2 linked regions of the Ovis aries genome follow. The protein of the gene in region 1 interacts with the protein of each later gene in a biochemical or structural test. Links are inferred from orthologs where the notes say so. Each region holds a gene or a part of one and is shown on either strand. Other genes may lie near its edges. The genes, in order: SH3RF1 and AKT2.

Region 1 (15,274 bases):
CTCCTGTGTCCTCTGCACACCAGCAGTGGACCTTGTGAAAGGACCTTGTGAAAGGGAGGGTGACCCCTGGGGCCAGCCAGGAGGTTTTAGTCACAAGATGTCACAGGGTAGCTGGGGCAGTGCAGGCCGCATGCAGCTTGTGGCGAACTTGAAGTCACATTGCATTCTAACTGTGTGTAAGCACAACTAAACCGCGCGCGTGTGTGTGTGTGTGTGTGTGTGTGTGTGTGTACCTCAAAGTAAACGATGTCAGCTTCTCAGAAGAGCCAAGATGTACTTGGCCCCTGTGGCCCATGGTGGAGGGTCAGAGCAGGGCCCTGGATGTAGGGGCGGGACCATCTTGGCAGTTGGAGAGGCAGAAGTGGCACCTTTGGAATTGGCAGGATGTGAAACATTCAGAAAACGAAGATCATGGCATCCGGTCCCATCGCTTCATGGGAAGTAGATGGGGAAACAGTGGAAACAGTGTCAGACTTAATTTTTTGGGGCTCCAAAATCACTGCAGATGGTGACTGCAGCCATGAAATTAAAAGACTCTTACTCCTTGGAAGGAAAGTTATGACCAACCTAGATAGCATATTCAAAAGCAGAGACATTGCTTTGTCGACTAAGGTCCGTGTAGTCAAGGCTATGCTTTTTCCAGTAGTCATGTGTGAATGTGAGAGCTGGACTATGAAGAAAGCTGAGCACCGAAGAATTGATGCTTTTGAACTGTGGTGTTGGAGAAGACTCTAGAGTGTTCCCTTGGACTGCAGGAGATCCAACCAGTCCATTCTGAAGGAGATCAGCCCTGGGATTTCTTTGGAAGGAATGATGCTAAAGCTGAAGCTCCAGTACTTTGGCCACCTCATGCAAAGAGTTGACTCATTAGAAAAGACTCTGATGCTGGGAGGGATTGGGGGCAGGAGGAGAAGGGGACGACAGAGGATGAGATGGCTGGATGGCATCACTGACTCGATGGATGTGAATCTGAGTGAACTCCGGGAGTTGGTGATGGACAGGGAAGCCTGACGTGCTACAATCCATGGGGTCGCAAAGAGTCGGACATGACTGAGCGACTGAACTGAACTGAACTGAACCAACTTCAGAGAAGGCAATGGCAACCCACTCCAGTACTCTTGCCTGGAGAATCCCATGGATGGAGGAGCCTGGTAGGCTGCAGTCCATGGGGTGGCGAAGAGTCGGGCACGACTGAAGCAGCTTAGCAGCAGCAGCAGCAGAACCAGCTTCACAGTGACCACAGAGAAGGGCTCGGCATCTCGGGGACCAGGGTCTCCTGATCTGTATCAGACTGTCCTGAGGGCAGTGGAAGCACGGGAGGTTTTCTCATTGCCAAAGAAAGACCACGTTGAGCATCTGCGCCTCCTGTGGGCAGAGCTGGGCACCGGCAGCATGGGGACAGAGAGGCGGCGTGTGGCTCCACGGCCGCATGGATCCTAACCACCAGAGCCTGCCCCCGAGCCTCCACTCCTGGGCGCTAGAGCCATGTTGCTGAGAGCTCCGTGGACAGCACAGGGCCGCGTGCATCATTTCTGCGAGTCGGGGAGCACGTGTGCACCCCTCTCCTCATGTGTCAGAGATAGAGCCCTGTATCCGCAGCTGTGAGTGGAGGTCCATTCCCAGAGAGAATTAATTAATCTTCCTAATTGCCAGATCCTTAATTACACCTCCCCTTCAGACACCATCTTCCAAGCATCTGTTTCGAGCATTTTAAGTACTTTCATTTTTTTCCTTTTTTTCATAGCTTTGCCTGCGACTGACTGGCTTAATTCTACTGGGTATCCAGATGAGACAAAAGCTCACTTCCCATCTTCTTAACTTTACTGAATCCTGATGCCTGTGTTTTTTAATCACTAGTATCAGCGCTTCCATTTTTCTACTTCCAACTCATCGTTTAAAAAAGGCGAGACACTCAGTTGCACACACACTGCTGTGTGCAAGGGTTGATGCTGCAGGAATTAGTGACAGCACTCGCCGAGGGGATGACCAGCCACTATCCCTCTACTGGCCGAGCAGCTGAGTTCACAGCACAAGCAGAGTGTTTACAGAGTTGAAAGTGGATTCATTGGAAGCGGATGTTTAGGAAGGATGGAATTGGAGGGTGTTTAATGATCTTTGCTCAGAGGACTCAGAAATGCCCAGAGTCGTACGCTGGCCGTCACTTTCTACCCCAGAAAGAGAGGAGGGTGCACACACAAAGGGCTGTCGGGAAACAAATGGACCCTTAATGTAGCCTGGAAGAGAGTGGGTATGTGTCTGTGTAAGGCTGAATCACTGCTGTGGGGAAGAAACTGACACTACATCGTAAATCAACTATCCTCCAATAAAAAAGTTAATTAAAGAAAGAGAGGACAGATCATTTACAGCCAGAACCCCAAGCTCCAAGCAGAGCGCTTTCCTGGTCAGCGGCCCGTAGCCCTCACCCATGGTTAAGACCTCGTGGAGCTCAGCGCCTGGGCATCTCAGCACTGGTCACTGGAAGGGGAGAGGGCAGGGGGCGCCAGTGAGGAGGGGCCCACAGCACGGCCTTGGATTCTCCCTCACTGTCCCCTGGCCGAAGTGGCCCATCGCGCAGGAAGGGGAGGGGGGAGGGGGCACCAGCCAAGAGGGGCCCGCAGCACGGCCTTGAACTCTCGCTCACTGTCTCATGGCCTGACGGTAACCTGGAGCCAGCCACCTGGACAGGATGCTTTGCTCTTGGAGGGAAACTGAGGGCGGCCTGCAGGGGCTGAGTGGGGACTGGAGTCTGCACGGCATTTCTGACACTAGCCCTGGGCTGCCTCCTTGTCCCAAGATCAGTGGGTCGGGAACACAGTCTGGATGTGGCGGACCTGACCCTCCCCCATCAGCTGACCCCCGAGCCCTGATTTTAGGGAACATCCTCATGGTGTCCGAACACCAGTGCCGGTAGCAGAGGGTCTGGATCTGCAGAAGTACAAGCAGAACCTCATCTCAGCGACCACGAGGCCACAGCCAATCCCCTGTGTCAGATCTCGGAGGCCCGGCCACAGCCTCAGCCCTTCCGCAGCGCTCAGTGAAAGCAGGCCAGCTGCAGATGGCCCCAGCGAGGGGGAGGCTGTGGCTCCCGCGGGACGGCTCGCAGCAGGCTCCTCCCAGGCATCTCCGTCCCTGGGGCCTTTCAGTGTGGGCTGTTCACCAGCACCCGTGGGGCCTGCTGGCCAGCCCAGCCCTGGCCGTGCCCGGGCCCTGGCATCTGACCAGCCTCACAGGACGGCCACGTCATGGAATCCAGTTAGGATGTCTGCTCTGTGTGCTTACCCTCCAACATACTCACACACACACACGTGCGTGTTCTCCCGAAGACACACAGCCCAGTGCTGGGGTGTGCCAGATGTCGAGCGAGTCTAACTTACGCTTTATAAAATTCATGCACACCAACCATTTCCTTTCTGCACTTACTAACTATGGGAGATGACCTTTTCTTCAGTTCGGTTCAGTCACTCAGTCGCGTCCCACTCTTTGTGACCCCGTGGATTACAGGGGCTTCCCTGTCCTTCACCATCTCCCACAGTTTGCTCAAATTCCTGTCCACTGAGTTGATGATGCCATCCAGCCAGCTCATTGTCTGCCGCCTTCTCAGCCTGCCTTCAGTCTTTCCCACTATCAGGGTCTTTTCCAGTGAGTCAGCTCCTCACATCTGGTGGCCAAAGTATTGGAGCTTCAGCGTCAGTCCTTCCAATGAATATTCAGGGGTTGATTTCCTTGAGGATTGTCTGGTTTGATCTCCTTGCAGTCAAAGGGACTCCCTTCTTCAGCACCACAGTTGGAAAACATCAGTTCGTCTGCACTCAGCTTTCTTTATGGTCCGACTCTCGTGACCTTTTCTTACATTTTGTTAACATAGTGTGGCCTATGTTTTTATCAGGCCTATAGATTTCCTTCTCTTTTTTTGCCTTCTTCTGTCTAGAGCCAGTGAGTACAGGCTCTGCTGACATGAAGGTGCAGGTTCCCTCTCTTGCCTCTGCCAGTGGAATTCTCAGAGCCGAGTGGGCCCTTGACTCTGAGTCCTTCCAGGGGTGGGTGGCCTGAGTTCCTTTGTGACTTGTCACCTGCGCCTCCACAGCCACACAGCTATGAGGTGGGGCCTGGAGAGACACAGAGGAGACGGCTCAGTGGTGACCTCAGGCGCTCCTGTGCCGCTGTGTGCGGCGGCCCAGCGGGCCCACCTGGGTCACGTGCGCCAAGGCTCCTACCGGGGTTAGCTTTGTTTCTCCCACCTTGTCCTGAGACCAGCAGCTCAGGTGCTCAGCCTTTTCCTCGTTAAGGGTCATGAGGGCTCCAGGCCCCGTGTGTGCCCACCTGGAGTCGCAGCGCAGCCTGTTGTGCGACTGTCCAGCTGGCCTTGCCCGCCCTGGGAGCGCTATCAGTGAGTCTGTGCTGCCTGGGCCGCAGCGTGGGGAAAGTCTCCGCTGTGGGAAAATGGAACACAATGTGCTCGACAGTTGCAGTGTGCAGCTGGGAACTTGAGGTTCTTCTCTCCTGCAGTGTTTCTGGAACCGTGTAACTTAACAGGCCGATGAAGTAACTGCTAATGAAGTGTCAGATTTTTTTCCCGGACGACAGAAAGCCATTGGTGTTCTCCGTGTTCAGAAACCATGGGGTTTTTCTTCCGTTATTCTGACATGGAGATACCACATTCCCTGCCCAAGTTGCAGTCTTTAGCCTCCTTATTTCTCCCTTGATGCAGTTTTACATTGAGTGGTTCAGAGATTTGGGGCAGCTGGGCAAGGTGGGGGTTCAGGCGAGTCTGTGTGTGCCTGTTTGCTCAGTATCCAGACCCTAAAGAATGATCTGGGCTGTGTAGATTAGAAAGTAGCAGGCGCTCCATTGATTCTGAAAAGGTGTGGAGTCCTGTGGGCAGAGCCTGTCGAGGGACCGGCAGCTGCTTGCGGGGTACTTGTTAAAGATTACCAGCCTTGATAGTCCTGAGCTTAAAAAGCTGGCAGAGCTGACAAGAAAGGAGTACACAGAAGCAGCCAGCATGGCCCTGCAGTCGTGGCTCACTGTTGTTTGTGGTTTGAGAAGCCCAGATGTCCGAGGAGATTTTCTTCTTGGGCGTGACGTCGAGGTTTTCTTCTGTGGGCATGGTGTACAGTGCAGCTGGACTGTCTGCTACTATGTTGAAGCTTCGGGTTGCAGAAACAGTCACAAATTCATCCCCAGCAAGCCCTGTGCTGTCAGAGCTGCCCCTTGGGAGGCATTTGGATCCTGATCCTAGTTTGTGCTTAGAAGTGCCATTAATCTTGAAATTGCACGCAATCTTGTAATTTTTGTTCTTTCCCTCCTCCCAGTTGTGGTTACTTACCTGTTTGCTAGAAAGGTTTCTGTGGCCCTAAGACCTTGAAGGAGGATAGAGAGGAGTCTTAAAGGAGGCTTGGGTATAGCATGTAGCTGCTGCTCTGTGTAGATGCCACCGATGTCTTTTTTTTTAATGGGTTTCTGATTCCTTTTCCCTTCCACTTACTGGAAGAGATGTAAATAAGTCATCTGTTCCTTCTTTTTCTTTCTCTCTCCAGACTCTGAATCCTCCTCTCCCCCCGCCCCCTCTCCAGGCGGCCACCCCCACGGGCACTGCTGTAGCTGCTGCTGCCGGGCTGGGCCCCAGGCCCACAGCTGGACCCACGGACCAGACCACACACCCGCGGCCACAGCCCCGCCCCAGCGTGTAAGTGTGGGGGTCCTTTCTGCCCCTGGACCGAACCCAAGTAGAGAGGCAGAGAACAGCTTTCTGGGGGGAGCTGGTGCCAGACTGGTGCCACTGTGTTTGTGATTAGGAAGCTCGTACTCTAAGGCTGGGCCTTCTTGGCCTTCCTCCGCGAGTGCTACCCGGGCTTCGTTCCCACCTTCATCCCCAAGTAAGGGAGCGAGGGGACAGGGAGGCCCCGCGCAGGTCAGACCTAGAGGAGGTGCGGCGGTGCCTGCAGTGAGCGTCCAGAGTCAGGTTACTCCATTCATTCTGCTCGTGGCTCAGTGCAGCCTGCGGGCGGAGGCCCCTCCGTGCACACTGACCCAGGAAACACTTGGTGCCTGCTCACGTTGCCGCCACTCTCCTTGTGTCGGTGGCTGTCACCTGTGCAGATGGGCTGTTGGGCTCTGTCCGTGATCTGGACTTGCTTTGCCTCTGACTCGCAAGTTCAGCGTCTACCCCAACTGAGCCCACGGATGCAGGTGCCGCCCGTTGCTGGTTCAGTGTGCGCGGAGAGGCTGTGTGCCAAGCTTCCCGGCGGGATTTTGGACCACATGTCCTCAACAAGGCTGCTTCCCAGGTCTCACCAGGGCCATCTGCAGGCCCAGTTTCCCAGCGGGCATCTGATGCCCTGCTGCAGGTGTGCATGCCGGGGGCTGGCATCAATTCCTCCACACCCACGAGTACCGTTTGGCGGGATCATCACCTTTGCACCAGGAGGGCCAGGTGGGAGGTTCTGAGTCAGGCGGCTTCTGCCTTTTCAGAGTGGATGGCTGCCGTTCAGTGGACAGTGATCGAGGCTGCCCACAGATTAAAGGATTCTACTTTCTGGTTTTTTTTGTACAAAACATTCAAGGCTTCGTGCCACAGAAGAGTCCTGCACATCGTGGGGTACGTCTGTTACTCACCTTGAAGTCCGATGTTTTTTCCTCTTCTAGGTATGTCGCCATTTATCCTTACACTCCCCGGAAAGAGGATGAGCTGGAGCTGAGGAAGGGAGAGATGTTTCTCGTGTTCGAGCGCTGCCAGGACGGCTGGTTCAAGGGGACGTCCATGCACACCAGCAAGATTGGGGTTTTTCCTGGCAATTACGTGGCCCCCGTCACGAGGTATGGCTCTGAGCAAGTGGCTTGCTGAGCCCTGAACACAGAAGCTTTGTCCTTTCCCATGATTTCCAGCCTATCCACAGTTCCTTCTCATGTTACAGTTCTGTGTTACACAGCCGGCATTGTAGAGGTCCCTGCCTGTATTTGCCAAAGTCCCTTCTAATCCTCAAGATTTTAGCTTACTCTTCACGTGTGAAATTGTAAGTTTCTTCCAATACAGGTGCCGGTTTTAAATTATTTGCTTTTAAGTCACATGTGAGAAGACTCTACTACACTGTTTTCAGTATTTTTCTGCTAGGAAATTAGTGCTGTTTAATATAAGCACAAGTGATGTTATTAATCCTCTTGGTTATGTGATGCTTACCTGACACCTGGCACTCAGAGTTCTCTGTTCTGCACGTTAATGCCAGGTCCTCAAACAGCTCCCTGGTGTATGTGCTGTTATGAACCCCACTCAACAGGTGAGCAGGTTGAGGTGGAGAGGTTAACCAATTTGAGGTCACCCAGTGAGGAGGTGCTGAAAGCCAGGTGTGTATTCCCATAGCTTGGGGATTATGTCTGAATTCTCAAAATTGCTTTTTATAATGCAATCAGAACTGAAACTCCTTTAACATGACGTGAGTCCCTCACCCTTCTCAGGGGAGGGCGGTTTTGCTCCCCAGGGGATTTTTGCAGTGTCTGGACATGCTTCTGATGGTCACGATGGGGGAGCAGGTGCTACTCGCCGCCAGTGTATAGAAACCAGGGATGCATACAGCACCCTGCAGGGCACGGCACAGCCTTCACAGAAGGGAGCTGTCTGGCCCCAAGTGTCACCGAGGCTGAGAAACCTGTTCTAGGATAGTAGGAGGCAAGCACTTGGGATGTGTTGATATGCACTGTTCACTGTATTTAAATATAGTCCCCGTTCTGGGCACTGAGGAAGCTTGCCCTGGAATGATCGTGATGACCTATGATGGGGTCAGTGCTGAGAAAACCCCGGGTTTTGGCCAGTGGGCTCTTAATAAACGGTCCAACCTATTTGTGTTAAATCATTTCTCAAAGCCCCTGATTTTGAATAAGTGGCTGAACGAACTGACATGCTGTCAGATGTCGGTCGCAATCCTCAGGCTGGCTGGCAGCCTAATCCAATGAAGATCACTGTCATTGCAGATGGCAACAGAACACTAGCTCCAATTAGACTTGCAGATTTTTCATCAGTGTGAACGTTCTTGTTGGTATATGCTAAAATCCACATTCACAGCCCAGAAGACGGTAGCTCTGTCTTCCCTGGGGGGATAAAACAAACAAACAAAAACCACAATAACTAAGGGAGATAAACCAAGCAACAACCACATGTCGACTTTCTGAAGAAAACATTTTCCTAAGACTCAAATACAAACTATCAAAAGTCTCTGGAGAGACGCTTCCTGATGGAAAATTCTCTGATATTCCTCATGGTAAATAATGAGGTTTGAGTTAATGAAGCCTTCTGCTTGGTAGAAAGTTTCTATCTATAGAACTGTCGTTTAAATGAATTTAGAATATTAAAAAGTACGTTACATAAAGCCGCACTGAACCGAATGGAGTGAAATTCAGCCGGTAAATACTTGTTGCGGGCCAGCTGTGCTGCTGTGACTGCGCACGCAGGAAGGGTGGGAAGCAACCGCTGCACGTGGCCCTGCTGTCAGGAAACCTGTACTGAGTCAGGAGCATTTCACTGGGAATTGACTGATAGGACTCCACATCGTGTTTTGTAATCAAGGGTCATAGAGGAAATCCACCTGAAACAGAGGAGAGTCGCGAGGTCCCGGGCCTAAGGCCAGGCTGCTTGGGATGACAGAATTGAAACGCAGGTGAGGGGGAGGCAGGGTGGAGGGAGCCCGAGGGACGTGACAAGTATGTGCGTGCACTCGCGCGTGTACACGGGCAGGTACAGAGAAGGCGCACGTGAGCCCAGCTGTGACAGCCTAGATGTCGCTCTGACAGGCCGAGAGGAAGCCCGGGCGAGAGTTACCCCCGGAGGGGAGCCGAGCCGAGGAGCCATGTCACCAGCAGAGTGCTGTGCGACCTCTCCCCTCAGAAGAGGCTTCCGGAGCTTTCTCTGCCTCGGGGCCGCTGTTCCTTGAGTGCGTTGCTCTTACCTTTGCTCCGATAACCGCGTTCTACAGGGTTACGTCTTGAGGCTCTGCACCATTTTCTTTGGCGTTGGTCGTCCTCTCTCCCTCTTGCTGACGGACTGGGTTTCTGTCTCAGCAGGGCCGTGACCAGCGCTTCCCAAGGCAAAGTCCCCATGCTGACGACTGGCCCAGCAAGTCGCGGAGGGGTCCCGGCCAACCCTCCCCCTGCAGGCGGGCCTGCCCAGAAGCCCCCGGGGAACGGCGTGGCTGGCGGTCCCGGGGTCCCCACAGCCGTGGTGTCGGCAGCTCACGTCCAGACGAGCCCCCAGGCTAAGGTCCTGCTGCATGTGTCCGGACAGATGACTGTCAACCAGGCCCGGAGCGCTGCAAGGACAGGTGGGCGCTGGGCCGAGGCCCTGGGAGAGGGGCCTGAGCAGCCTCAGACCTTGTACACCAGAGGCTGTGAGGATGTGAAGACAGTCTGAGGATGGTGGAACTTTAAGACAGTCTGAGAGAGCAAGATGGAACTTTTAAGACAGTCTGACAGAGCAAGGTGGGACTTTAAGATAGTTTGAGAGAGCAAGGTGGAACTTTAAGACAGTCTGACAGAGCAAGGCATCACGGACTCAATGGACCTGAGTCTGAGTGAACTCCGGGAGATGGTGATGGACAGGGAGGCCTGGCGTGCTGTGATTCATGGGTCACAAAGGGTCGGACACGACTGAGCGATTGAACTGAACTGAACTGAACTGACAGAACAAGGTGGAACCTTAAGAGAGTCTGAGAGAACAAGGTGGAACTTTAGGACAGTCTGAGAGAGCAAGGTGGAACTTTAGGACAGTCTGACAGAGGAAGGTGGCACTTTAGGACAGTCTGAGAGAGCAAGGTGGAACTTCAAGGCAATCTGCTGAGGGAGGTGGAAGAAGACACTGAATAACAGGAAGAGGGGCCAGCACAGTCTCAGCACCATCACTTTACATCGGCTTCATCTGGCTTCGCCTGCCCAGCTTGTGAGTCCAAGCCTGGTCTCCAGACCACGGGTCTGAAAGAAACTGTTACCAGGCGGGTCCTGAGAATGTCGATAGTCCTTGAAAATGTGACTTCTGTGGTCGAGACCAGCCATCTGGGGTCCCACTGCTGCGGAGGCGCAGCCCGCAGACTGCCGTCCGGGTGCTGGGATGAGCTTAGTCACTGCTCTGTTTCAGACACAGTCAGACCTTAAGTAGCTTTCTTCTTCCTGAAGCGTTTAAAACCTCCCAGGGGTCTTGGTTAACAGTGGTAGAGAAAACATGTTCAGCTCTATCCGGAAATCCAGAGCAGGAAGGCAGGTTCCGAGAAGAGGGAGAATAGGAAGCGGCACTGGGGCCAGGCTGCTCTGCCCAGCTGGGCGCGTGGGGGTGGCGCCTCGGCCAGAGCCCGGGGGGCTCCTGCACCCCTGGTGCTGTGGCCGTGCTGTCACTCGGCAGGCGTGGCAGCAGACCCTGTGTCACGGGACCGAGCGGGGCGCTGCCTGGGATCAGGGAGGGATGATGTCCAGGGGCCCCTCGAGGGTCAGAGTGTCTAAACTGCCACGGTTTCTCATCACTGACACGCGCAGGGCTCAGTGAGCAGCGAGGCTCCACTCATGCTTTCCTCCTCTCTTCCCTTGTCCAGTCTCAGCGCACAGCCAGGAGCGTCCCACAGCAGCCGTGACACCCATCCAGGTTCAGAGCACCCCGGGGCAGTCCCACCACCCCCTGGCGTCGCCACAGCCCCCTGCCCCACTGGGCCCCCCTGCCCACGCGGCTGCCAGTGGCCTGGGCCGGGTCGGAGGCCCCCTGGCCTGCACCACAGCCCCAGCGAGCATCCCTGCTGCCTCCCTGGAGCCCGAGCCCAGCGGCCGCCCTCTGACCCTGCTCCCAGGGACACCCACCTCTCCTGACAGCGGCTCGGCAGCCAGGCCAGACAAGGACGGCAAGGTGAGCCCCAGCAGCTGCTGACCCACTTGGGGTGCGGGGAGGTGGGGTTCCATTCAGCTCTGGGGCTTGTCCCCTAGCCGCTCACTCCCCTACCCCCTCGCTGCCCTGAACTCCTCCCGGTGAGTGAGCTTTGCTTCTAGTTAACTGTTCTGCAGAAATGCACTTAGGATATGAAGGAGCTGGAACTGTAGATCCAAAGTGTTGCTGGTGGATTCATTGCTCCTGCACTGTGTTTGACTATAATTTGTGTGGATGTGGATAGTTTTTCTCTTGACTTGAGATATAGGGGGAAATTAATTTCTAATTTGATATTTTTTATTAAAAAAAAAAAAAGATCCTTTGGGCCTGAATTTCAAAGAAATTGTAAGTGGGAAGCTATGTTTGAAAGACTGACCTGTGGCTGGGTTGTAGACAGAGGCGTGTGTGGTGGTGAAACGTGCACAGAAAGAGCAGCCTGCAGCAGACTCTGGTGATCGTGCTGCAGGCGTGACTTCCACTCCGTGCTCACGCGTGCCCCCCCCCGGACCGCTTGCCGGCTCTGGGCAGCTGTGGGGTCACACCTGCTTTCACAGTCATGTACGTCGCTCTTTAAATGACCAGGGAGCCTGTGAGCAGGGCTTTATAAGGAAATAAATGTAGCCTACTAAGAAGTTAATATTTAATTGTTGAGTTAACATGAGTGCTTTTGCAAAAGATCAGTATCAGTTCAATGTTTATGATTAACTACATTAAACTTGTACTGAAGCTCATGCGGTCCACCCTGCCAGGATCTTCAGAAAGTAAACTTACTTTACAGCTTAGATCTGAAGGTTCCAGGATAAGGCATCAGGGGCCATTGTCTCAGAGCATCAGGCTCTGGAGCCCAGGCCTCCGAAGGAAGGATTCATGCAATCTGCAGGAAGCCTGTGCTAGGGAGAATAACAGCCCCCATGTCCTGATCCCTGAAATTTGAGAATACATTTCCTTACGTTGCAGCAGGGGTCTTACAGATGTGATTCAATTAAAGGTTTAAAGATGAGTGGATTAGCTGAGTGAGCCCAATATAATAAGCAAAGGGATCTCCTTAAGGGGGAGGAAGGAAGAGGGAGGAAGGAAGATCAGGGCCAGAGGGAGATGACACCAGAAGCAGAGAGCAGTGACCTGTTTGCCCCGCTCAGTCCCCCTCCTGACAAGTGGCCACTGGCCCCTGCTAGGATGCCCTGTGGTCCCTGTGTCCTGTTGCGGAGCGTCAACACTGTCTTCGGGCAGCTCGAACTCCTGGAAAGCTCAGTCAGCACACACCTGTCTCCCTGTGACTTCAGACCCTCTCGCTGTGCTTTGAGGGACTGCATAGAAAATGATGGTCTCCTTTCTATGTGATCCCTGCAGGGAGTTCAGGGTTATCATCTTTTCTTAAAGGCTTCACTCTTGAGGGCTTTCCCCCCCATATTCTTCATGTCACAGGTTTCTAATTTCCCTTTCTAAATCTGCCACCTCATTTAATGTTCCCAGTTCATTAAAGAGGTTGTCCCTAATGGCTGTAAACTCAGTGACCCATGATTAGTGCAAGGAGCATCACTTCACCCCCATCACTCTGTCCTCTTGCCAGGACACGCAGAGAGAGCTTGGCGGATGCCTGGATGAGATCCAGCTGTCTCTCATTCTCCCATCCAGTCCCCCAGTCGCCTCACCATTTCTGCTGTAACCTGTGAGCCCGCATCTCGTGTAGGAGACTTCCTTGGTCTCACTTCCTTTTCTGAGTCAGCCTTTCGTCAGATACCCTGTTTTAGGATTTCCCAGGTGGTCTGCAAGCACTGTTGTGGTCATCTGTGAAAATGAGCACCACACAAGCCTTTCTTTGGCATGTTGAGTCGACCTTGGTCCCAGGTTCACCAGGATCTGTCAGAGATCAGTTGTGTTCCAGCTGTTAATTTCCTCAGTCCGCCGGGGTGGATCAGCCTGTTGGGAGGAGTGGTTTCATCTCTGAATCCCAGTTGCTCCCCCGTTTCCCTCCTACCAAGGTTTGTTCTTCCTGTCTAGTCTGGAAGGGACTCTTCATGCGTCTGAGGACCACCATCCACCCCAGGCACCAGATCCATGTCTTTCTTGTTCCCAACAAAACTTTAAAGCAGCACACACCCTACCCCCACTTTTTTTGGTCATTCGCATTTTTGTAAGTTTAAGTTCATTCTGGCCTTCAGCATCTTGACTTGCCACAGCCGTGGTATGTTCTTCTTGGGGGCCCTTCTCCTGATCTTTTTGTGGAGGCCTTTCTGTCACTTCCTGGGGCATCATCATCACTTCCTGGGGCATCATCATCACTTCCTGGGGCATCATCATCACTTCCTGGGGCATCATCATCACTTCCTGGGGCATCACACAAGTGCCTTCATCACTGGGAGCTTCTGCACCTTCACCTGCTGGAGTGATTTACAGTGTGTGCTTGGAGCTTCTTTCTGGAGAGCCCACCCACTGCTCTTGAAGCTTCAGGATTTCCTTCTGAATTTCAGGCCATGCATATATTTTCTTGTAACTTTTAAGATCAATTCTCACTAATTATTAGAGAAGTACAAATCAAAACTACAGTGAGGTATCAATATCACTTCACACTGGTCAGAATGGCCATCATCAAAAAGTCTACAAATGAGAAGGCTGGAGTGGCTGTGAAGAAAAGGGAACGCTTGTACCCTGTTATGGGAATGTAAATATGATGACTAGTGCAGAGAACAGTGTGGAGGATCCTTAAAAACTGAAAAATAGAGTAACCGTGTGACCCAGCAGTCCCATTTCTGGGCATATACCCAGAGGAAACCATAATTCAGAAAGATACGTGCACCCCATTGTTCACAGCAGCACTGTTTACAGCAGCCAAGATGTGGAAACAGCCTAAGTATCCGTCAGCATAGGAGTGGGCCAAGGAGGTGTGGGACATGTACACAGTCATAAGGAAGAGCAAAATAATGCCGTTTGCAGCAACATGGATGGACCCAGAGATTGTTACACTGCGTGAAGTACGGCGGACACAGAGAGACAAATACCATATAATATTGCTCATGTGTGGGATATAAAAAGAAAAAGGGCACAAGCAAACTTATTTACAAAACAGAGTAGAGTCGCAGATGTAGGAAACAAACATGGTTAACAGGAGGTAAGAGAGGGAGAGGCAGATTGGGATTGATATACGCACACTACTGTATAAATGGATGACTAACAAGGGCCGAATGTGTAGCTCGGGGACCTCTGCTCGGTGTTCTGTAATGACCTTTACGGGGAGAATCCCTGCCCTGCAGGTTAGCAGTGCTGTGGGCCACGCTAGGTAAATGGGGCCCGTGGTGCAGACCGCCTGGGATGGTTGATCGTCTGATCAATGCTTACCTTTATTTCCGTCGGCCAGACTGTCTCTCACTGAGCTCTGCTGTTACGGATCCCCCCACCCCCCGCCACCGCGCCCAAAGGATATTTGACTGAGTGGGAACTAAGTCAGTATTCAGGAAGAATTCCTCGGTGTTCTCTCTCCTTGAGGGCTGCTTATAGTTCTCCTTCCCTGTTAGTGGATCTTACTAGTCCCAGTTTGCCTAGGAAGCATTCTAAAGGGTTATTTCTCTCAACTGTTGTATTTTCGGACTGTGTTTTCAGTCAGAGGACTTGATGACCCAGTTGACACATTAGTAAAGCAATTTAAAATGATGGCTGTTATTACTTTGGGCATCAGAAGAATATTGACACTTGGGGTCTGGGCACAGAGAAGAGCCAGCCCTGGATCTGGGTTCCTAGCAGAGCAAGACCACAAGGAAAAGACCCCAGGAGACCAAGACCCATGAGGTGGCTTCTATGGCGTGAGGCTGATGGGAGTAATTCTCATTTAGACACTTGCTTGCAAAAAGAGACGCAAAATGTTTTCATTATACTGATGGGCTTTTTTTTCTTAATTTTGTAGTTGTTTTTGGTAAAGAATCTGCCTGAAATATAGGAGATGTAGATTTGATCCCTGGTGGGGAATATCCCCTGGAGAAGGTAATGGCAACCCACTCCAGTATTCTTGCTTGGAGAATCCCATGGACAGAGGATCCTGGCTATAGTCCATGGGGCCGTAAAGAGTTGGACACGACTTTGTTTTTTTAATTAAAGAAGTATTTGCACAACAGATATGGTTTGACTTCTGTTATTATCGGTTTGTTAAATTTCATCAACAGTGATGAGTGAAAATGACTTAGCCCTTCACCCTGATCAAGACATCATCCCCTATAAGGGATAAGCTGCAGGTCTATTAGTTGAGTATAGAACAGGCAGAATTTCAGGAAATTAAAGCTATTGTCTGAAATTTCCATTTTGTCCTAAAGTGTCTACTTTGCCTTCACCAAGCCTGGGAAGTGAATTGGTGGGATTTTGGTTTCCCATCCTTTTTATCTGCTCATCCCACCTCCA
Region 2 (15,890 bases), on another chromosome or scaffold:
GAGCCTGTCTGCTAGGGGTGTTGGGAGGTTCGGTGACCCTGTTCATCTTTTCAGTAGATGTTTATTACTGAAGACCTGTGAAGTGCTGAGGACAGAGCAACAAACAGTATCTCCTCTTGAGGCTTGCAGTCTCTTGGACGAGTCTGCCAGTAGACAGATAAATGTACTTGAATGTCCAGCAGTAGTGGGCTTCCCTGGTGGCTCAGCCGGTAAAGAACCCACCTGCAATGCAGGAGTCACAGGAGACGTGGGTTCAATCCCTGGGAAGCCCTGGAGGAAGGGCAAGAAGATCCCCTGGAGGAGGAGATGGCTTCCCGCTCCAGTGTTCTTGCCTGGAGAATCCCATGGACTGAGGAGCCTGGTGGGCTACAGTCCGTAGCATCGCATAGAGTCGGACACGACTGAAGTGACTGAGCATGCACGCGTATCCAGCAGTAATACGGACTATGAAGAAAAAGAATAGTGTAGGGTAGAAGTGGGAGTGGTTGAGGGGGCAGTCGGGAGTTTTCTCTGAGGAGGCTGAGTCTGAGAGGAGACCTGAATGAAGAGAGAGAGCAGGCCCATTGGTACTGGGGGAGCTGTGAGCCAGCCAGACAGCAGATAGACAGATAGTAGGCACCCCAAGGTGTGTGCTTTCTGGAGGAGGAAGGTCCTGGAGGAAAGCAAGGCTGTGGGGGAGGGAGAGGGAAGGACTCAGCACAGGGCTGGGTGACCGGTGGATGAAGGGTGCTTGGAACCATCTGGTCTGGGCCTCAGGAAAGCCCCCCCTGGGCCAGGAGGGCTGGACTAGTCCCTGGAAGACAGGCCCTCCCCAGGCCTCCCTGTCTTGACAGTACAGCCCATTCAGTCCCAAGGTGGCCCTCCCTATCCTGCCCCCTTCCCGGGGCCCTGTCTCACTGGACTCTCCTCTTTCCTCTTCCTGCCAGCCGCCTCCCGAATGATCACCAACAGCCTGAACCGAGACTCCCCACCTGGCACTCCCCCCAGGCGGCCGGACACCAGCACCTCCAAGATCTCTGTCACCGTGTCCAACAAGATGGCGGCAAAGAGTGCCAAGGCTGCCGGTGAGGGGATGTGGGCAGGGGGTGGGAGGAGCTGGAGGCCGCTGCGGGTTGGCAGACGGCATCTGGGGGACGTGTTCTTGACGCTGCTGTGCAGGCCATGGGGTGTGCACAGTGTTCAGACTCGGTCAGGTCACGGCCTCTCTGGGGGCCTCGCCTTCCACGTCTGTCGAAGAGGGCTGGCGCTACCCTCCTCCGCGGACGGTTGGAAGCCCTTGAGATGGTGTCTGTGAGCATCGTGGACCCGTTGCAGTTCTCATGCAGGGGCCAGTTCAGTCTGTGTAATTTTTATTTTATTGTGGTGAGAACACAACGTGAGATCTGCCTACTTCATGAAACTTTACGTGTGCAGAACAGTGTTGTTGACTGTGGGTGGTTCAGTCTTTTTTAACAGATGGTCACTGAGCCCCGCACTGGTGCCCGGCCCTGTGCTTGATGCCTGGGGTCAAAGGTAAAGAAGCTACCTTTCCTCTTAGCCACCAGAGGGATTCTTTAAAACTTTCCATCTGATCCTTTTCCACCCTTGTCTAGAACTCTCCAGGGCTTCCTATTGTTCCATTAGTAAAGTCATCTTCCCACATGGCCTTGCTGGGCCCTGTGGATTCATGTCTTGCCTGCTGCCTCCATTCCCCTCCAGGGTCCTTCCCATCATGGGGCCTTTGCCCCAATATTCCCTTCTCCCAGGGTCCTCTTCCTGTGTAGACTCTTCTATGCTTGGCCGCTGCTCTTCCTGGTCTCAGCTTGTGAGCTGGGAGTGGGGCACGGCCTTTGGGCTTCCAAGCCCGCCTTCTGTCCGTCACATGCTTCTGCCTTTGTTGAGTCCACCCCCACAGCCCAGTGGTCTTGGCCCACATGGAAAGCAAGGCCCAGGATGGCGCCCAGCCCCGTCACGCCCCGTCCACCTCCATGACAGGTGCTCCCTTTGGGCCACATGTGTCTGGAAGCGCCTCCTCCTCCTCCTCCTGATTGTTCAGTTTGTGGGACATGAGCGAGAAAGTTAAGATTCATTCCTAAAGTAGTGAAAAGATGCGGGGCCTGGGATGGATGGTTCCTTTCCCTTCAGCACAGTAGAGGAGATTCTGTTTATTTTTGTGAGTTGTAATTTACTTTTGCACAAGGCACACATTGTAAGTACATAGCTTGAATGATTTTTAACAAATGATCATACCTGTGAAGCCATTACCTCGATGGCCTGTCCACCACCCAGCAGTTTCCCATCTGAGAGTATTCTGGCTGGCCTGGGAGGCGAGCCTACTGGGGGGTGGGTCAGAGCCACAGAGAGCCCGGGAGGCCAGCCATAGCCTTCTGCAACCCCACTGGGCCCAGGCCCCTGACTTTCTTGGCGGATCAGTCAATGCCCATAGGGGAGGTTGGGAAGAGAAGGGATTCTGGTCATGGGAACGCATGGAGATAAAGGGCACGTGAGTGCCCTTTGCAGGGCGTCCAGCCCCCCACCCCGAGTGGACATTCCCTTTCAGAAGATGCTCACCACCACCCCCTCCCCCAGCAGCCCTGGCCCGCCGAGAGGAGGAGAGCCTGAGTGTTCCCACCAAGCGGCGCCGGGTCACCGCCGAGATGGAGGGGAAGTACATTATCAACATGCCCAAAGGCACTACCCCGCGGACCCGGAAGATCCTGGAGCAGCAACAGGCAGCAAAAGGTACTGGCCTGGGGAGGGGCAGAGACTGTGTTTCCCTTTTGCTGCGTCTTGCAGGGTTGGTCACGTTCTACAGGTGTTGGCCCCGAAGCAGGCTCTGATGGGGATCCAGGGGGCTTTGGACCCAGGGACAGCAATGGTGGCCATAGTAGAGAGGGGCGCATCACCACCTCTGCCTTCTTGTCCTGCAGTTAGCATAGCAGGGATCCTCGGTGCCTCAGTGGGCGTCTCTCCCTCGGCGGACGGTGGCACGGATCCAGTGCTGGTCTGCCTGCTAAGTCCGTGACCGGGCCTGGCTGAGGACAGTGCCCCAAACAGTAGGAACCATCGTGGTGAGCCAGCGGGGTCAGGTTGAGATTCAGGCCAGAGCTAGCGTTTATCCGGCGGTATGAGGATGCTCTTCTTTAAGTGTTCCTTTTGTGCTCAGTTGTGTCTGACTCCTTGCGACCCCATGGACTGTGGCCCACCAGGCTCCTCTGTCCCTGAAATTTTCCAGGCAAGATACTGGAGCTGATTGCCATTTCCTTCTCCAGCGGATCTTCCTGACCCAGGAATCGAACCCTCGTGTCTTCTGTCTCCTGCATTGGCAGGTGGATTTTTAACTCCTGCTGAAGCCCTGCATTCTGTCAGAACATTGTGTATATTCTCATGGAAAAATATTCAGTGGATGCAGAGGCAGTGAAAACAAACTTGTATCCCACGTGTACTGCGAACCTTTCCAGACATCTGTCTGTGTGTTTACATGCATCTCAGCTTTTTTTTCTTTTTAAGCACAAATAGTCTCATCCTGCAGGTATTGTTGTATAAGGTTTTATTGAGCTCTTTTCACGTTAGTGCACATGGATCTGCTTCATTCTTCTTGATGGCTGTTCAGTGTTTCCATAATACTTCTGTATCGTAATCTAGTAAACATTCTTCTGTTGATGGCTCTTCAAACTGTTATTTAGGGAGGGTATTACCATTTATCCGATTCTCTTAGAGGCCCAAGGCCCCCAAAAGAGGGAAAGGAAGCAGTAGGGATTGAGAACTCTTCCTGCACATACACTTCTTGAATTGGTACCAAGAAGTGAGGAGAAGTGTCCATTTTAATTGATCCTCTCACATTTGACGTTGACCAGAAGTGTGGGGGTTAAGGTCAGTGTTAGCGGACAGCACAGACATAAAACCTGACTCCGTCCAGTGTGCGCCTGCTTGGACCAGAGCTTCCTGGGGTCTGGGCGGGCCGTGATGACCCCTCCCTGTCTGTTCAGTGCTCAGCCCGGCTTAGGCCTGCAGGGGCCACCCCCCAGGCATAGGCTAACAACCTCACTTCCCTCCCAGGTCTCCACAGGACATCTGTGTTTGACCGCCTCGGCGCTGAGACCAAGGCAGATACCACAACGGGGAATAAAGTGAGTGGGAAGTGGGGGAGCCCCTGGGGACTCTCAAAGCTTGGTCTTCCCTGAGTGTCATTCCTGGCGCTTCCTGCACACCCCTCACCCGGTCTCATGTACCTTTCAAGTCCGGCTCCCTGTCTGTCTGCTACCCCGATCTCTCTCCCGATTTATAGCCCCAGGGCTCTGGCGGACCCCTGGACAGTGTCCTGGGACCCCGCCCACCAGCATGTCCCCTAACTGGCCTCGAATCTTCCTCCAAAGCACGTCCTCCTCCTGTCTTGGGGGCTCCATCTGTCTCCTGTCTGCAGCCTCGTCCTGTTGGGATGGGCAGTGGCCTCCTAGCTGGTGTCTGTGCAGCTCCAGGGAAAGCCCTCCAGCCCCTCCCTCACAGCAGCAGTGCCTACGACCCACAGGACAGGCCCCTTCTGCCCTCCTCGCCCACTGTAAACCCTTAGAGGCTTTTCACCAGCCCAGGAGGTAGCCTGATCTTCTTGCCTCCACTTGCGGTCCCGCAGGCTCCAGGCGTGGCATGTGGTTAGGAGATGCAGCCTGAGCCTGTTGCCTGGCATGAATCCTGCTCTGCCATTGCCTGGCTTCATGGCCTCGACCATTTCACCTCAGTTTCCTCCTCTGTATAGTCCCTGCCTCACAGGGTAGTCGTGAGGACTCATGAGGTATACATGTGTGGTGGGGTCTGTCTGGTGCCTGGTCGGCATCTTTTTTTTTTTCGGCCGCGCTGAGCAGCACATGGAAGTTTCCCTACCAGGGCTTGAACCAACGCCCTCAGCAGTGGAAGCACAGTCTTAACTGCTGGACCGCCAGGGAAGTCCCTGGTGAGCGTCTTGAAATGGCGCCTCAGATTCAGGCTGGTCAAGTTTGCCAGCTGCCTTTCCTTGCTTGCTCACCGGGGCTCACCCACTCTGGCTTTTTTCTCATTTCCTAAATCTTATCATGAGCGTGATTGTAATGCTCAGGATAACCTGGCTTAAAGATGGGGCCGTGGAAAGAGCTGGGCAAGTACCCCATAAATATGACTCTTACTCATGCCTGGGGGACTTTGAGGGTGCACTTTACTCTGCTTAAACAGCAAAGCCTCAGAGAAAGTGTCCCTGAACTCAGCGAAGAGACGAGGCTTCGCTGTCCACAGCTCTCCACTGCCCCCGCCCCATGCCCACCCTCCCAAGCACACAGTGCTGTCATTACTGGAGAATTACTTGTGTGAGGTCCGATGCCGGCTCTGTCTTCCCTGCTGGACCGTAAGCCCCCTGTGAGTGGGGCAGGGGCCCGTCTTGGTCAGCACTGAGTCCCCAGCACTGCCCAATACAGGCCAGATATTGAGCTGGAACTCAGATTATTTGTGGAGTGATTGACCAAATTCGCCTCTTCTCTGTGGGTCCTCTATAGACCTTAGCAGACAGTTTTTCCTTTCACCTCCCCTCTCCCTCCTGCTCTTTATTTGACTCACATCCACTCAGCTCTCAGGTCTCATCCTAGAGGTCCCTTCTCCAGGGTGCCTTCCCCTAACTTTGGCAGGGAGTGGTCTCCTCTGGGCTCCCCCGGTTCCCTGGACTTGCCCTTTCCTGGCTCTCACTACTATCGAGTGTGTCAGCGAGGGGTGCGCTTCCCAAGTGCGAGCCCCACGAGGCCAGGCACGGATGAGGCAGCTCTGTGATTACAGGGCGAGTGGCTCGGTGGCTCACCTGTCCTGTCTGTGACCCCCACAGCCCACCGGAGTCTTCAGCCGCCTGGGGGCCACGCCCGAGACGGACGAGGATCTGGCTTGGGACAGCGACAACGACAGCAGCAGCAGCTCCGTCCTGCAGTACGCTGGGGTCCTGAAGAGGCTGGGCCGCACCCCCGCCAAGGCCAGCCCGCAGCCTGCGCTGACTGTCAAGGCCAAGGCGACGAGCTCGGCGCCGGCCGCTGCCGCCCCCACGCTGCGGCGCCTGGCCCTCTCCTCGCGCCCGGCGCCCGAGAGGAAGCCGGAGGCCCTGTCCAAAGTCAGCATCATCCAGAGACTGGGCAAGCCCGCCCTCGTGCCTGAGGCTCAGGACAGCCAGGTCACCAGCACCAAGAGTAAGTCCTCAGCTGAGGTCAAGGTCACCATTAAGAGGACTCTGGTGGGGCCCCGGGGGAGCAGCTCCAGCGAGGGCCTGGGTGCCCAGATGGACCACGCGGGCACCGTGAGCGTATTCAAAAGACTGGGCCGGAGGACCTTCTAGCCCATGGGCGGGGCGCAGGCCCCTCTCCTGACTCCCGGCTCCATCAGTCTTCAGCGAGGGCACGTCACCCCTCCCTGCTGGCTTCCGGACGACTTGTCGCCCCCTCAGGTGTTCCCGCTGGCCTGAGCTTTCCGGGGAGCCACCTGGGTGTTCTGAATCTGAGAGGGTCACCGTGGCCTGGCCTTGCCGCTCTGGGGCTTCCCTTCCTTCCCGTCCTCTGCTCTTGCCTCTTGACTGTGGCCTTGGCAGGACCCCCTCTTTACCTCTCCCGATGCCAAGGACCCTTCTCCTCCCCTCCATGCCCTTTCTCTCTCCCAGCAGCATCTGCTGCCTCAAACCCACATTCTGGGGCCTCCCTGTCCCCCAGAGAGGGTGCACCCGAAGGGGCTTCTGTGTCCCCCACCCCGGGACTTCCTTGCCCGCCTGCCTCTGCCCCACCCACTGCTTTGCCCTCCCCTACTCTCTCCCGATCTTCACTCTGTTCATTTCTTTTCTGTTTTCTGTCCCCGTGGCAAGGCCCGACTGTCCGCTGCGTCCTGCCTGACCCTCCTGCACCTCCGGCCTCCCAGCGGCGCCCTCGTCGGCGGTGGCGTCGAGCCAGTAGAGACTGTTAGCCGCCCTCACTCCCAGGCTGGAGGGACCTCCCCAGACCCCGGGCTGTAGCCAGGGCACCCGCCCGGGCCTCTTTTCTCCCTGAAAGTCTGGCGGGCGGCGGGTAAGGGGCACGGAGGTGGGAAGCCAACACCGAGAGAAGAAAACAGCTATTTTAATATATTTTTGTGACTTTCAGACTGTTTCCCTCCCCTCCTTCAGGGTGAGTTGCAGGATTGCTTTTTACATGCAGCACAGAGTGGGTGGGGCACCTGTGGAGAGCTGGGCAGCTCCCTGCACACCTGTAGGCCGTGATTTTGCTGCCAGCTCTGAGGTGAAGGGAGTAAGTCCCTGTCGTCATCCACTTGGGCCACCTCCTCCTGCTCTGGGCTCCCGCAGGGCCTCTGTCTGTCTGCCCTCCTCGTCATAGGTTTCCCCCATTTCTGCCAGGTTGCCTGTGAGGGGTTTTCCAGATTGCAGCTCCATTGTGAGGCTGTGGGCTCCTGTGGACTGGGTTCTTCACCCTCTCACTGCTGTGTGGTACTTGTGTCTGCCAGGCCCGTTCTAAGGGCTGGGGTCTATCTGTGAGCCAAGCAGGCCCGTCCCTGTCTGCATGGCTGCCCTCACCAGCCAGGGAGACAAGCGGAAAGTGATCACACTGCTCAGAGTTGGAAGGAAGGCTGAGCGCCCGTGATCAGGGTCTCTCTAGATGTTTGGGGCAAGAAGGCCTTTCAGAGGAGGTGACCTGTAGGGTGGTTTACATGAAGTTCAGGAGGAGAGTGCTCAACCAGGGCAAACAGGCAAGGCCAAGGCCCTGAAGTGGGACGAGGGGACACGGAGGAGACCAGCGTGGCTGGTGACTGAGTGAGTGAGTGCCGGGCCTAAGGAATTTGAACCCCTTCCTGAGAGCGTTGAGTTTGGGAGGGTTTGAGGCTAACAAGTGGTGATCTGAGTTGCCTTGTATGAAGGTTGCTGGGGCCACTGTGAGTTGTCGGGCGGGTGGGATGGAGGCAGGGAGGCAGCCTGAGGGGAAGTGGTGGGAGGGGGAGGAGAGGCAGGGGTGGACTTTGGGGGTGCCTCAAGAGGGGCAGCAGGATTCTCCCTGCAGATGGGCTGGAATTTGGGAAAAGACAAGGGGCTGGGTCATGCCTGGATGGGGGACTTGAGCATCCAGAGGAGCGTGCTGTTTTGTAGCACTAGGTGGGGTGGGAGGGCGCTCAGGTTTCACCGGGTTGACTGAGAGGTGAGCAGTCTGCGGGGAAGGCTCGGCACAGGCATGTTCACAGCCGCGGGCCTGGTGATACCAGCCGGAGAAGAGCCTAGAGAGAGGAGGGGACCCAGAAGGGAGTGGGGGTGCTTTTCCCACCTCGAGAATAGTCTCTGATAAGGAGATTACCAAGGAGTGGTCAGGGAGTTAGGAGAAGAGCTGAGAGCAGGTAAAGGTGAGGTTAGACGGCATCCTTTTTTTTTTTCCCATTGGTTTTTTTTTTCCATTTTTTTCCATTTTCCATTTCAACACAACACTGACCATTTGAACTGTTCTTAACGTGTCCTCTTCAGTGGCACTAAGCATATTCATACTGTTGTATAACCGTCATCCATCTTCAGACCTGTTTTTGTCTTCATAAATGATCATCCGTTTATTTTTAGTTAGTCGGTGCCGTCATGCTGGGAGGCTGCTGCACGTCAGGCAGGGTCCCACGCGCTGGGCCTGCGGTGTGCGGGCCAGACTTCAGTATGAGGGGCAGTGATAGAGCAGCCATAGACCCCATCTCGTGGTGAGGGCCCAGGCCAAACCCTCGTGGGGCTGGTTGAGGTTGCTGACCTCAGAAGGACAGCAAATGATAGTGGTGTCAAGATCCCAGAGGCCGCCCATTTGTGTCAGGGCCACAAGGAGGCGCTCACACACAGAGACACTTTCCTTGCGGTTGGTTCTTCACTTCTTTTTTTCTTTAAAAACCCTCCTAGTGATTTCCTTGAGTTCCACTTCATGGATAACTTCAGCAACTGCCAGGGTTGCCTGGCAGGGTTCCAGTTACTAAATTTAAGAGCACAGGGTATTTCTGAATGCATAATAGGAACTAAAATGATATAAAAACGTGTCACTTATCATGACAAGCTTACCTGCTGTGAGGTAAGTCGAGTCACTGTTGCTCCTGACAGAGGTGCGAAGGGGGACAGACAGCTGGCGGGTGGCAGCGCTGGGTGTGACGTTGGGAGGTGAGCGGGCGCCTCGCCCCTCAGCCCCTGCCTGTGGTGCCTCAGCTGCAGATCGGAACCAGGGCCCCCCTTTATAAAGGGGAGGGCAGGGTCCTGGGAGAGTGGTTTCAGGTGTCCTTGAGTTGCTTGTGTGTACACACTGCCCCGTTACTTACCCCAGGGAGCACTTGCAGCTCCGGAAGGCTGTGGGCTTTGAGGGTCATGCCCACCCTGCCACCGCCTGCCTGACAGGGTGGAGCCGGACCCCTCAGCCTCCCAGCCACTCCAGCGTCCCACCCATTTGCTTCGGTGATCCTCCCAAGCCGGCCCCAACAGCTGTGGCCCACAGGGGTGTGTTATTTTTTCCTCTGGTTCTCTGAAACTTTTTCGAGTATAAGTATTGGGTTGGCCAAAAAGTTCATTTGGCTTTTCCATAAACATCTCACAGAAAAACCTGAATGAAATTTTTGGCTAACCCAAAAGAATACATATATCTAGTGTACAGTGCCAAGATACAAAGGCTTCGCAGTGAAAAGTCTCTTCCCAAGCCCCCTCCTCAGAGGCCACCAGTGTTACCATTATCTTGGATCACCCTTCCAGAGATGTGCCTGTCTGTGTGTGTACACACACACACATGTGCATGCATACATATAGCCAGAGGGACACAGTACACACAGATGTGCACACACATGTTAATGGCCTGGCTTACTCAACCAGTCCTTTAGGCAAGGGAATTCGGGTTGTTTCCAGTCCTTGTTATTATAGGAGTGCTGCTGTGGGGAAAGGTGGGTTTGGTTCAGGGGTGAATTGGAAGAACTCCAATGACACCACTTCAGTGCAAACACTGATGCTGGGTCAACAGCGCATCCCAGTAAGGTTCTCCTGCAAAGTCTTGGCACTCTTCAGATGATTTACTTACACATGTATCACCCCATTCCAGAAAGGAATTAAGAGCCGTTAGGCTCGTCTAATTGGAGGCCACTGGAGCAAGGGGATCGGGATGTGAAGAGGTAATGCAGACCACCACCCAGGTGCCAGGAAGTACAAAGTATGTGCTTTGCTAAGTTAATTAGGCTTAAGAGGTCTTTGCACATGTGGAGCCTGCCTGTTTATGCTGCTTCTGGGAACCCTGTAGCCACCCCTGTGGAGATGAGCCTGGGCTAGGCAGCTTCATAATGAGAGACACGTGGCGTGGCCAAAACACAAAGTAATTTTAGTATAGAACCCCAATATTTAAAACATGTTTAAAACAGAAAAGCAGTCATTTATTAGCATACATTTATCAGATTATTTTGCATTAATTCATGCAAACAACACAAAATTCAAAGGTACAAAAGGATGTATACAATAAGACTCTTGTGCCCAGTGGGCTGGCAAAAAGATTAAAGTCGCAAGTGTTGGGGAAGATGTGGGATAGTAGTAGTGCGTAGACTGCTGTTGGAATGTAAGTTGGCATCAGCATTTTGGAAAACAGTTTGATATGTTGTAGCGTAATTGAAGATGACATATTCGCCAATCTACCAGTTACCATTCTGGAGAAATTCACACATGCATCCAGGGCAAGTATCAGAATGTTCCTAAGATCACTGTTGTAGTAGCATAAACTTAGAAACCACCCAGATATGCATCAGCTGGAGAATAGGCAGATTGTAGCATATTCTAGTTACCTAATGCATAGTGGATCACCTCAAAACTTAGTGGCTTAAATCAGTAATCATTTCCTGTGGTTCTGGGGGGTTGACTATGCTCAATTAGACTGTTGTTACTTGGGGCTCTCATGTGCTTGGTATAAGATCTTGGCTGGGGCCAGTGTCCCCTTGAAATTCTTCAGTTGTCTGGTGGTTAGCCATTACTGGTACTGAGGGAAAATCTCAGCGTGGGCTGTCAGCCAGGATGCCTGCATGTGGCTCCTCCATGTGACCTGGGCTTTGTTACAACATGGCAGCTGGATTCAAAGTGCACTCTTCTCAAGAGTCAGGGAAAAGTGTATTGCCTTTTCTAACCTAGCATTGGAAGTCACCTTGCTTCACTTCTGCCACAGTCACTAGCCTGCCCAGATTCAAGAGGGACCACAGGCTGTGGCTGTCAAGACAGGAAAGGCAGTGTCTCATTGTAAGAAGAGGGATGAGAGATCATCTTGAAAAATTACACGTCAATCCTGGATGTACTATGTATTGAGTGTGGATATTATACTTCGATGAAAACTAAAGTTGTGCGTATCAATATGAATAAAGCAAAACATTGAGTGGTGAAAGCAAACTACAGAAGAATATGTGTAGTTTAAAGATATGCGAAATAGGGAGTTCACTGGTGGCCTAGTGGTTAGGATTCTAGGCTCTCACTGCTATGGCCTGGGTTCAGTCCCTGGTCAAGGAACTGAGATCCCACAAGCTGCACAGCCAACACCAACCAAAAAAGCAAAATAATGTGTATTGGTTACAGATACTTAAGAGTGTAGTAAATGTAGGCAATGCATGGGGATGATAAATTCCAAGTGAAGGATAGTAGACCCGTTCTGGGGTGGGATGGATTGTGATTGGAGGGGTGTGCATAGGGTCCAGCAGTATGGTAGTGGTTTTAAAGCTGTGGGCACCCAGGTGCCCATTGTGTTAATACTCTCTGGGTACCTGAGAGCAATTAAAAAATAACAATTCTCTCTCTTACTCTAGATCCCTCAGCCATCCAGTTTTCCTCTCCAGAAGCCATCAGTATTACTGGGGTCTTATGTGTCCTTCCAGAAACATTTCATTTACAAACATAACTATATTTTTTTCCCACTCAGATGGTAGCATATATGATAGTTTTATACTTTGCTTTTTTTTATTATTAATGCTTTATATCCTGGAGACCATTGCAATCAGTACATAAAGAACTTAAAAAAACATTTTATTGAGATATAATTTACATATGAGACAATTCACCCATTTAAAGCGCGTATTTCAGTGACTCTTGTTCATAGAACTGTGTGTCCATCACCATAATTTTGGGTTTCTCAGGTGACTCAGTGGTAAAGAATTCGCCTGCCAGTGCAGGAGATGTAGGAGGTGTGGGTTCCACCCCTGGGTTGGGAAGATCCCCTGGAGAAGGGAACGGCAACCCACTCTAGTATTCTTGCCTGGAGAATCCCATGGACAGAGAAGCCTGGGGGACTACAGTCATAGCGTCCCAAAGAATCAGATGCGACTGAGCACGCGCACACACACCATAATTTTAGAGTATTTTCATTATCCTGGAAAGAAACACCCACACTCCTTAAGCATCAGTCCCCAAGTCCTACCATGCTCTGCCCCCTCCGCCGCTGCTCCAAGCCCTTGGCAACTGCTAATTGGCTGTCCACAGAGACTTGCCGCTTGGGGGTACTTTATAGAAATGGGTTCATGCAATATGTGGCTTTTTGTGTCTGATTTCTCTCCCTTAGCATGTCTTCAGGGTTTATCCACATTGCAGTACTTCGTTTCTTTTTACTGATGAAGTTTATCACGTTGTATGGGTGTAACACATTTTGTTTGTCCGTTGATGGTGGTTTCTACCTTTTGGCTATTACGAATGATGCTGCTGTGAGCATTTATGTGCAAATTTTGTGTAGACGTATGTTTTCAATTCTTTTCGGTATATACCTAGGAGTAGAATTGTTGGATCATAAGTTAATTCTATTTTTAACCATTTTAGGAATTGCCGGACTGTTTAAAGTGGCTGTACCATTTTACTTTCCTACTAGTAGTGTGTGAGAGTTCTAATTTCTCTGTGTTCTTGCCAACACTTTAGTATCTGTGTTCTCGATTATTGCCGTTCTGTGTGTGTGCGTGCTAAGTCGCCTCAGTCATGTCTGATTCTTTGCAACCCCATGGACTGTAGCCTGCCAGGCTCTTCTGTCCTTGGGATTCTCCAGGCAAGAATACTGGAGTGGGTTGCCATGCCCACCTCCAGGGGATCGTCTGACTCAGGGATCGAACTCGTGTCTCCTGTGGCTCCTCATTGCCATCCTAGTGGGTATCAAATGATATCTTATTACTGTGGTTTTTGATTTGCACTTCCCTGATGGCTAATGATTTAAACATGTTTTAATGTCCTTACTGGAAAGAGGCTTCCTTTTAAACTAACTGCATAGCATCCCCTTGTGTGGATGAACCTTTGAAACCAATCCCTTATCATGAACATTTGGGTGGTTTCCGAGTCTTTTTCTATCACAAACAGCACCTCTTACGCACACCACGGTTTGCTCATACGTGAACATATCCAGAAGATAAATATCTAGGTGCTAAATTGCAAGGGCAAAGGGAATGCACCTATGTTTTATAAGTTTGAATTTATGCCATTTGTGTATTTAAAAGTAAATATTAAATATCATCAGATTTGTTTGAGGAATACTCTTAATTTCTCAATTTCTCCTCCCGTGTTACCAGCTAACAGATTTAGGCACATCAGAACAAGCAGCCATTTTATTTCCCTGTTTTACTTCAGCTAAACCTTGCGTAATTCAAGGCTGACTTTTACATAGATTTGAATGTCAGGTTGAGGCAGAGGCCCATGAACACATAAACCTACGTTCGTTGTCCCAAGGTTTTCCCCCAGAGCTGCCTTTCCTGCTCCCTCATGTTTATTTCAGTGCTTGTTCCTGAATCGCCAGCATAGCATATCCTGGCAGTCGCTGGGTGGCCATCTTGTTTGTTTTTTTACTTTTCAGCTACACTGAGGGGCCTGTGGGATTTTAGTTCATCGAACAGCGGTTGAACCAGCACCCCCTGCATTGGAGGCCCAAAATCTTAACCACTGGACCACCAGGGAGGTCCCCTTGTTTGGCCTTCTTTATGGTCTGTTATGATTAGAGCTTGAGCTGTTTTGATTAACAGCAACCGTATGATCTTGGGCAAGTTACTCAACCTCTCTGAGCTCGAGTTTCCTCTTCACTAAGGTGAGAGTAATGGCAGCATCTTATTGTGAGGACCAAATGAGTCAGTTCTTGTGAAGGGCTCAAACAGTGCCTGGCATGGCGTGGTTTTCTCATCTGTCTCTGAAACTGATGATTTTCTGCATCAGCCTTAGCACCACCACCGAAAGAACCCCTTAATGACATTATCATTGACTACAAAAAAGAGCTTTAGGAGTTACTCTTATTTTAATTCTAAATTTATAACAAAGTAGCAGGAATAGAACAAGTACTTCCTATATTCTCTTCAGCCAGATTTGCCAACTGTTTGCTCCATTCTCTCTTCTCCCCGACACCACACACACACACACACACACACACACACTGTGGTTTTGAACAATTTGAGAGTTCACTTGAACATCATGTCCCTTTACCTGACAATACTTCAGTGTGTATTTCCTAAGAACAAGAACATTTTCTTTCATAATCACAGTACAACTATCGAAACCAAGAAATTTAACAAGGATACAGTGCTCTTCTTATCTGAACCCTAGTTCATATTCTGGTTTCATCAACCGTCCCTGTAATGTTCGTTATTGCCATGTTTTTTCCTTGGCTCAGAATCCAGTTCCAATCACGTGTTGCGTTTAGGTGTCCTGTCAGAGTTTCCTTTCAAACAGTGAATGTTTCCATAACAGCCTGAAGGTCCAACTTTCTCCAGGAAGGCTTGAAGCCTGCCAGACAGCTGGGTTCCGGCGGGGATGGCCGTCTCACGTGGTGCCATCTGGTGGCAGCAGCGTGAATAGCGTTTTATAAATCATCCTGTTAGGCTGCTGTGAAATGAGTCCCTTCCTGATGAGCTAAAAAGAAATCCAGTGATATTCACATCATCTTAATTTTTCTTAATAATATGGGAAGCTATGTTTTAAATATTTATGTAACTCAAACCCACATACTTTAATTAGCATTGAAAATGAGGTTTCGCCATGTCTCAAATCTGGATCCATGCATGTGAAGTCCAATGCTATGGGTAAAAGTGTGGTCTTGGCCTGACATCTTTGGGAATGGATCTGGGCGCCACAACATTCGGGTATGTGGTATTTTTCCCGAGGCTTTCCCTCTCTGGGCCTATGTTTACTTCTGCAAAATAGGCCTTACAGAGACTTCTACCCACAGGAACATATTCAGGTCATGGATATAGTTTCCAGCATGTGCCTGATATATGAGAATTCTTCCATAAAGGTTAATGGATTATTATTATTTGTTCAAATTTTTTTTTTTTGTGAGCAGACAAGCTCAGACATGAAGTAACATTCACCCCAGTACAGAGCTTTAACCTTCCTAATCAAAACCACATTCAGTCAACAAATATTTATTGATTCCCCAGGTCTCAACCGGTGCGTAGGCAATGTTCTAGACACTGGGAATACAGCCCAAGACAAAGCCTTTGCCCTCATGGGCAAGTTTATGTTCCAGTGTTGGGGGAAGACAGTTACAAAATAAAAAAAAATTTTCTTCTTTAGTGTTAAGCACTAGGTAGAGAATTCAAATATGCTGAAAAGGAGGGACAGCATAGCTCTTTTGGATTCAGAGTGACCAGGGAAAGCCTCTCTAAAGAGGAGATTTGAACTGAGTTCTGAAAGACAGAAGTCAGTCCTGCAAAGATCAGGATCCGGGAGGGTGACCAGTCCAGGTAAAAGGAACAGCGAGTGCAAAGGCCCTGAGGTGGGAACATGCTTGTCTTTTTGGTGGGGCAGAGAAAAGGTTAGTGTGTCTAGGATGTGGTGGTAAAGGGCGAGAGAAGCTTGAGATCAAGTTAGGCAGACAGCCAGGGGGGCTCACACAGGTCTCTGAAGACAATGGTGAGGTCTTCAGCTTTTATTTCACAATATGAAAAGCCATGTGTGTGTCAGAGCA

Evidence for each region.
Region 2: the proteins of SH3RF1 (region 1) and AKT2 form a complex in vitro, tested with the Homo sapiens proteins (2 studies listed by BioGRID and IntAct, with this or other methods). The link is inferred for Ovis aries from reciprocal best matches to the Homo sapiens genes SH3RF1 and AKT2.

The regions. Positions count from the first base shown.
Region 1 is NC_056055.1:111,870,259-111,885,532, forward strand, and holds part of SH3RF1 (E3 ubiquitin-protein ligase SH3RF1), read left to right. Parts: intron 1-5,537; coding exon 5,538-5,686; intron 5,687-6,645; coding exon 6,646-6,816; intron 6,817-9,048; coding exon 9,049-9,308; intron 9,309-10,565; coding exon 10,566-10,870; intron 10,871-15,274. UniProt on the Homo sapiens protein: Has E3 ubiquitin-protein ligase activity. In the absence of an external substrate, it can catalyze self-ubiquitination. Stimulates ubiquitination of potassium channel KCNJ1, enhancing it's dynamin-dependent and clathrin-independent endocytosis.
Region 2 is NC_056067.1:49,094,465-49,110,354, reverse strand, and holds the start of AKT2 (RAC-beta serine/threonine-protein kinase), read left to right. Parts: upstream 1-6,316; 5' UTR 6,317-6,832; coding exon of another isoform or gene 6,833-6,930; 5' UTR 6,931-15,890. Other genes in the region: C14H19orf47 (uncharacterized protein C19orf47 homolog), read left to right, coding at 927-1,064, 2,569-2,721, 4,039-4,109, 5,819-6,316. UniProt on the Homo sapiens protein: Serine/threonine kinase closely related to AKT1 and AKT3. All 3 enzymes, AKT1, AKT2 and AKT3, are collectively known as AKT kinase.